Oryzias latipes: one gene and its partner. The protein of the gene in region 1 purifies or fractionates together with the protein of each later gene. This does not show direct contact. Links are inferred from orthologs where the notes say so. Each region holds a gene or a part of one and is shown in the gene's direction. Other genes may lie near its edges.

Region 1 (4,279 bases):
AATTTATGTCAGCAGTCCAAAAGATTTACAATGTCAATTGTTTTTTGAAGCTGTAATTAATTTTCAATATTGCTGCAGTTCAAGTTTGAACACAAAGAAATCAGGTTTTTTATTGGAAAATTTGCTTTTGTGTATATTTAGCCATAAATCATACCATGTTTACAGAAAAGAAAGCATCACGGTCTTTGACATCAAAGCTATGAAAACCAAAAAGTATGTTTTTATAATAAAGTTGTATGTCAGCAAAAATAGAATCGGTCATAAATTTATGAATGTTTTTCCAAAATCTGTATGTGAATTCACAGACCAGAATAAATGAGAGCAGGTTTCAGGTTGTTTGTGACAGAAAGTACAACTGATGTTTATGTCAGCCTGAAATTTAGTCAAGTAATGCTTTGCTGGATAAAATCTGTGTAGGAGTTTAAAAGAGATTTCTTCGACTTTATTTGTTAAGAAGTATTTTTGCGGTAAAGATCAGACTTTTTTCTATCCAATGTTCGAGGTGAAATTAGCCCAAAGGTAGCTGATGGAACAGAAACTAAATGATCTTGAAACAAAGCTCTGCTTTTTGAGTTCAACTGTTTAGCGGAAGTGAAGCAGAAACGACCAGAGGGGATTTGAACGCATCAGGAGGATGGAGAGTCAGAGGAGGAGCGCTGTAGAAACCCCTGAATAACATGCAAAGCCCAGACGGGACGGCATCAAACACAACTGTAAATTCTTTGGGGGTTATTGGTATTTCATACTGCATTGTGAACTCTGAGTTATTCAGTTATTCCAGATAATACAAGTCTGTGGAGAAAAGTTGTGTTTGTAGATCAGAGCCCAGGCTAAGAGAACCTGTTGATGAAAATTTGACAGTTTCAAAGGGATTTTTGGAATACTGTAGTTACAGCATAGCAGAAAGTCCGGCTTCTCTTTATTACCAGAACCGAACTGCTCCAACATACAGAGTATAACAGCGCCTCCTTCAGGTCACTAATAACAGGTACAGGTACAAAGCAGGTGGTATCTCCCGAGTCATACCATTTGTCAACAGGATGAGTGAGGATACATTGTCCAGGTTGATGTCCGTGCTCGTTAACGTGGATGAAAACTACTAATAACATATCAACATGCATGTGGTTCCTCCGTCCACCGGTCATAGCAGGAGTGTCTAGTATCTACCATTCTGGAGTAACTTCCTCCATATGGGGCATCAACACTTCTGTTTGGAACCTAAATCAGGACAAAGTTACACAAGGGGCCGGGTCACCATCTGGTGGACAAACTGGAAGATGGAACAAACTTTGTATAAATAGGAGCAGTAAGTTGCTATTGTTATTATTGAATTTTTACCATTATAAAAACCAAATAATATATCTTTGTATACCAGATCACATTTTTTTTATTTGACATTAATAATAATACATGTATTTATTTAAAACATTGTACAAAGGAGGTGAAGTCTTCTCTTTCCTCCTCTCAGCATCAAACCCCCGACACTTTAGTGTTGTAATCGAAGGTCAGACTACTGCTTGTAGCTGATTGGTCCGATCACTTTAAGCCCCGCCTTTTGTGTCTCAATAAAGTTTTCCCGTCCTCTGATTGGACGTCACATCTACCAGTCAAGTGGCTCAGAACCAATCAGGAGCGTTTGTCCTTTTGACTCGCGTCACGCACGCTGGCCGGTCGCTAGCGCAAAAATCCAAGATGTCGACCGCGTCTGTGCTCCCCATGTGTGTCCGGACGGGTCGCGGCCTGCTGAGGCTCCGCAGCGGGACTGCGGGAGCCGCCGCCCCGGCAGTGCTGCACGTCATCCGGACGCTCTCCTCGGAGAAGCCGCCGGCCGGGGCGGGCGGCGCGACGGGCGGCCTGGCTCAGGCGATCCTCCAGGAGAGACTGCAGCAGCAGCAGAGTCAGGTGAGGTGCGCTTGATTTACGACTTCGCAGCTGATCTTTTTGAAGCGAGCACCGACGTTTGTGATGGAGATACAGAAGCACCGCCCTTGTAAGCTGCCAGTATAAGCGAATGAAACATAAACTTGAATTGACAGTTAGCTTAAATGTTGTTGTTTTCTATTCTGTCTGGTCATAAATCCGAGTCAGTCTTTTGTAGTATTTAGTTTTAAGTCTCCGCCCGCGTCACTTCGGTCCGCGTGACGTATTGTAAGTGGACTCGGCGTGAGAGCTTCAGGACCTGAATGAATGAACTCCACGTTAACGAGCTAACGCACGAGCTCCCGGTCACTCTCTGGCTAGCTAAACCGGCGGGTACCGGATCCAGTAGAGCGCCCCAGAACCATCAAGGGGGTGTCGGGTCGGGGTGGTGTTGATGTTGTCGCTCGGTTCTGTCTGCCAGATAAAAAACATGAAGGTTTGTTTGGTTTTGAAGGTCGGTGCAGATCCCCGCCCTCCTCAACCTCCTGCGGCTCCTGCCTGCATTCATTTCAAACATCCCTGTCACGGCCAGGGCCGGAGCGGGGTTACAGGGGGGCTGGGGCAGAGTCCCTCCCCCCACCCCAAAAAGAGTTGATGCAAACTAGAACTGGATTCGCTAAAGACATAAACACACCAGCAGCCAAAATATACAGAAGAAAATAAATTAGCTGTAAAAATAAAACAAATGACTAAAGTAGTTTGAAAGAAGGAAGTCTGGTTAAATCGTGTCCCAGAACCACATAAATGGGTTAAAATCTGCTTTAGGAAATGAATGATAAATACAATGTTTTTAATAAATAATGACCAAATGTTGAGGAAGACCTGCTGAACTCTGACATAAATCCAGTCTCTAGGTCAAGGGTCGGAAACCTGAACCTCTCAAAGAGTCGATTGGATCAGTTTCCCACGGAGATGAAAGCACAGGGAGCCGCAACACTAGGGGTGTTAGAAAAAATGGTTTTTGGCCGATATATTTTGGGATAGTTCATTTGGTGATACTTGTATTGATTCAAAATGCTGTCAGGATATTTATTTAAGTATTTAATCATTTATGAGCGTGACGTTTCCTTTGATCTTTTGTCCATTTTCACAACCTTGAATAGACTTTTCTGTCTGTCAAACACCAGAGTTAAGAAGATGGAAACAGATTCACTTTGATGCAGACTCCTTTGTATTTATTTATTTAAATCCAGTAAACGATACATTATATTAATTTAAGGATGACATTTATGTTTTATTAGGAAGCAGCTGTTAGTTTGTTGCAGGTCTGGAATGCTAAGCGGTGGGTCTAAGCCCCGCCCCCATCTGTCGACCTGTTCACACCTCTGTAGCTCTGAGTTGTTTTCGCCTGCGTGCACCCCCCCCCAGCGTGTTCTGCACAGACAGCCCAACATGCGGTCGTCACAGCAGCACGTTGACGGGATAGTGGGGGCGTCCTAACGCAGATGGGAGGAGTTTTTATGCAGAAATGAGTCGTTTTAGTCCAGGAAATAAAACTGGCTTCTTTTTCCATATGCCCCCTACGATAGCGCCACAGCTGCAGACACGCCCCCTCCGCACGTTCACGCTGCTCTCTTCCTCCTGCCCGCTCGCCCTAAAGGCACCACGACAATCTCAGAACATGATAGTTATTTTACAAAACCACAGAGACCCACATGCAGCTCAGGGAGGTCGCAGGGCGGCGACCCCTGGACTGGACGGTCAGAGTCGACCTGCCGTTGTTCTTCACCGCCGGGCGGTTCTGGAGCGTCTCTGAGAACTGCCCTTTGCTCCCAAATGCTGCAGCAGGCGTCAGAAGGGGCGGTTAGAACAGAACTTTCAGCTTTTCTCGTCTTTGGGCTGCTAGCTCAAAGCCTAAAAGGAGCGGTCTTTATCACCGGGGTTGTATGCGGCGCCCGAAGGAACCGTGTCGGTGAGGATTGGCGAGGCTGAAGCAGTCGGCGTTCAGAGATGCTGAACTTCCCTGATGGTCGTGCTGCGTTCACATGCTGCAGGAAACGGCAGCTGCAGATGTGATGGATGAAACCTTGATGTGTGTGAACTGTGTTGGACCAGGGCCAGCCCCCACCTCCTCCCCCAGAGGGCGAGAAGGAGGGAGAGCGGGCGGAGGACAAGAAGGAGAACACCGCCTACGCCAAGAAGATGGTTCTGCGCTTGGCGGGCCTCATGGGGCTGGGCGGGGCTGTCAGCATCGTCTACATCTTCGGTGAGTGCTGTCAGTCAAAGTCAGAAGTGTTTTCTGTGATCAGCTTCACAAACGCAACAACCTGCAGAATCCCACTTCCTGCTCCTCGGTTTGGTCTTTGTGCTAACATCTGGATTATAACCATCATCATCACTGATTTGCCATCTTTTGAAA
Region 2 (3,650 bases), on another chromosome or scaffold:
TCTAAACATCAAGATTGAAGTGCATCATGGTTGAATATATCAGCATCTGGGTCAGATTATCTGCTGTTCTACAGTAATGGGTTAACCCTTGTGCTATCCTAGGCACTTTAACGTTGGGAGTTGGGTCATCTAGACCCACTAGACAGTGCTCTGAACCTTTTTTCTTCAATGACACTGGTGTCCATGGATTACATGAAATCTTTCCACCTTTATCCACCTTTGTCATGGTAGGGAGAACACGTCAATGGAAGGGGGGGGTCATCTAAGATAGAACAAGGGTTAAAAGTTTTGAGGATGAAACAAATATTAGTTTTCACAAAGTTTGCTGCAAAACTGTTTTTAGATCTTTGTTTCAGTTGTTTCTGTGCTTTTATTGACAATTACATGACATTTATGCAAAAAGTCAGTATTTGCAGTGTTGGCCCTTCTTTTTCAGAACCTCTGCAGTTCCACTGGACATGCTCTCTATCAACTTCCTGACTGATAGTAACCCTTTCTTTCAGAATCACTTCTTGGAGTTTGTCGGAATAAGTGGGTTTTTGTTTGTCCACCAGCCTCTTGAGGATTGACCACAAGTTCTCAAATGGATTAAGATCTGAGGATTTTCCAGGCCATAGACCCAAAATTTCAATGTTTTGGTCCCAGAGCCACTTAGTTATCACTTTAGCCTTATGGCCCGGTGCTCCATGGTTCTGGAAAATGCATGTTTGTCACCAAACTGTTGTTGGAAGAAGTTATTGTTGGAGGGTGTTTTGGTACTATTCTTTATTCATGCCTGTGTTTTGGGGCTGAATTGTGAGTGAGCCCCCTCCCCTGGATGGGAAACAACCCCACACATGAATGGTCTCAGGATGCTTTACTGTTGGCGTCACACAGGACTGATGGTAGCGCTCACCTTTTCTTCTCCGGACAAGCCTTTTTCCAGATTCCCAAACAATCAGAAAGAGGCTTCATGGGAGAATATGACTTTGCCCCAGTCCTCAGCAGTCCATTCACCATACTCTTTGCAGGAGATCAATCTGTCCCTGATGGGGTTTTTTTTTGGAGAGAAGTGGCTTCTTTGCTGTCCTTCTTGACACCAGGCCCTCCTCCTAAAGTCTTGGCCTCACTGTGTGTGCAGATGCGCTCACACCTGCCTGCTGCCGTTCCTGAGCAGCTCTGCACTGGTGGCACTCTGACCCCACAGCTGAATCCTCTTTAGGAGACCATCCTGGCGCTTGCTGGACTTTCCTAGACGCCCTGAAGCCTTCTTAACAAGAATTGAACCTCTTCCCTGGAAGTTCTTGATGATCTTATAAATGTTCGATTTTGGTGCAATCTTAGTTGCCACAATATCCCCGCATATGAAGCCATTTTTATGCAATACAGTGATGGCTGCACACGTTTCTTTGCAGGTTACCATGGTTACCAATGGAAGATCAATGATTTCAAGCATCACCCTTCTTTTAACATGTCAAGTCTGCCATTCTAACCCAGTCTGCCTGACACCATGATCTTCAACATTCTCTCCTGAGTTAACAAGACGATTACTGAAATGATCTTCACAGGTTCTTTAAAGACGGCAATGAAAGCAGTGGAAAGTTGTTTTTCAGGATTAAGTTAATTTCATGGCGAAGAAGGACATTGCAATTCATCTGATCACTCTTCATAACATTCTTGAGTATATGCAAATTGCTATTATAAAAACTTAAGAAGCAACCTTTCCAATTTCTAATATTTATGTAATTCTCAAAACCTTTGGCCACGACTGTAGTTTAATTCACCGGTCTTTCCTGATTTGAACTTTCTGTCTCTCAGCGCCATGCATTCTATCTCTCAAACCATCTCTGCACTGTACGTTCACTGGGCCTTCCTCCAAGTTTTGGGTAACAAACACTCATATGTGCATTGCACACAGCCAGAGTTTTGCTGCTTTCCATTAAACTCCCTGTTGTCTGCACAGAGGGAACTTCCTCCGCTGAGGCTGACTCAACCAAGACAGTTTCAGGTCACACAAGCACAACAACTGTGGCCCCTGCCCTTGCTGCTGCCACTATCACAGGCTTGGTCTATGATGAGAGAATGATGGAGCACGTAAATTTGTGGGACAGGTGAGCTTTGTGCTGAAGTGAGTGAGTATGTTGGTGTAAAGGTGAAGCTATAAAGGTGCAGCTGTAAATGTGGTTATTTGATGACATGTCTTAGACACCACCCAGAGCAGCCGCAAAGGATCTTCAAGATATTCTCTAGGCACCAGCAGCTGGGATTAGTCGACCGCTGCCAGCTAATACAGAGTCGCTTGGCAACAGAGGAGGAGCTGGCTATGTGTCACAGGTAAGGAGGTGCCACAAATAAGACACCCCCCACCATTATTAACCTTGCTGACCCTGTGTGTTTGTCCAGTTTGCAGCATATCCAACAGATGAGTGCAACGGCAACCATGAAGCCCAGAGACCTTCACAGGCTGGGGGATGAGTTTGTCTCCATCTTCATCAGCAATCAGAGCTTCCAGTCCGCCCAGCTAGCTGCTGGAAGCTGCTTTGCTGCTGTGGAGCATATGTTAAACGGACAGGTAAAACCTGACAGGTAGCTGATATGTTACAGGACAAGGCTTCCAATAGACTACATTACAGGCGAGGTTAGGGAACAGGTTTGCAGTCTCTGATTTTGGGGGTCTTTACCTATTTTGGGACTGCAAAAATAAATAGCTATGGGCTCTCAAAACTTTTAACTTCATAACTCTTTAACTTTTTAAGCTTTTCAACCAACTACTACTTTTTTAACTCCTTTGAAAATGACTTGCGAAACCTTCAAATCCCCCAAATTCAAATAAAAGCTTTGAGTTCTACAAAGCCTAAAATGTTAAGAAGATATTCAACTACAGTAACCATTCAACTATCAAAGTATTGACTCTGGGCTCTTAAACTTTGATTTTTCTTTTTAAAATGTCTTACATTCTTCAAAATTTTCCATGTAAAAGTCTTCATATTATCTGTGAGTGAGTTGTTAGTTATCAGAGAGTGTGTATTGGAGATTGGCGTCAGTTGGAAGCAGGCAGCAGAGTAAAGTATAGTGGGATGATTGAATGGAAGAGAAATATTTATTGGTTTAATTTTGCTCAGTGTGCTCAAGAAGCTTGTGCATAAGCACAGACATGTGAAAAATTAGAGGGAACTGGACTACCACAGCACTACCTTGAAATGTGCCAGGGTGGTGGCTGACCAATGTCAAGAAAATCGTCCAGCTGCTGTTTAATTAAAACCTTTGCTAAAAACCTTGGCGGCTGCTGTACAATATGTAACTATGCGCCTGCAGCTGCCGGATTACAAGTGCCAGTGCACGGCTACCTGCTGAGTTTGTTGAAAAAAATTACTAACTAACCAGGTGTAAGCATGGTGAACAGGAGAAAATAAGGTGAAATCTTTGGTGTTTTGGTGACAAGGCGCCAAGTATCGCAGAAACCCACTTCAACCATACACTGCCTGAGAGTTCCGGCTGAGTACGAGCTTTGCTGTTTCCCCGCTGAACTTAGTCTGTCGAGTTCAGGGTCTAGAACCAGGTTGAAATCTCCTCCAGTGACAAACGTTGGGCCAGATTGAGCTGACAGTGTGTTAAAAAAGGTGGAGTCATCAACATTTGATGCATTTCTATATATGTGTGTATATATATAT

What was found. Proteins that work in one complex are often made in the same cells at the same time.
Region 2: the proteins of timm50 (region 1) and hdac6 purify together in Homo sapiens (affinity purification with mass spectrometry; 3 studies listed by BioGRID and IntAct, counting the BioPlex papers as one, with this or other methods). This does not show direct contact. The link is inferred for Oryzias latipes from reciprocal best matches to the Homo sapiens genes TIMM50 and HDAC6.

What each region holds. Positions count from the first base shown.
Region 1 is NC_019871.2:1,081,647-1,085,925, reverse strand, and holds the start of timm50 (mitochondrial import inner membrane translocase subunit TIM50), read left to right. Parts: upstream 1-1,406; 5' UTR 1,407-1,692; coding exon 1,693-1,902; intron 1,903-3,975; coding exon 3,976-4,126; intron 4,127-4,279. UniProt on the Homo sapiens protein: Essential component of the TIM23 complex, a complex that mediates the translocation of transit peptide-containing proteins across the mitochondrial inner membrane. Has some phosphatase activity in vitro; however such activity may not be relevant in vivo.
Region 2 is NC_019865.2:34,297,370-34,301,019, reverse strand, and holds part of hdac6 (histone deacetylase 6), read left to right. Parts: intron 1-1,797; coding exon 1,798-1,865; intron 1,866-1,942; coding exon 1,943-2,090; intron 2,091-2,184; coding exon 2,185-2,313; intron 2,314-2,382; coding exon 2,383-2,551; intron 2,552-3,650.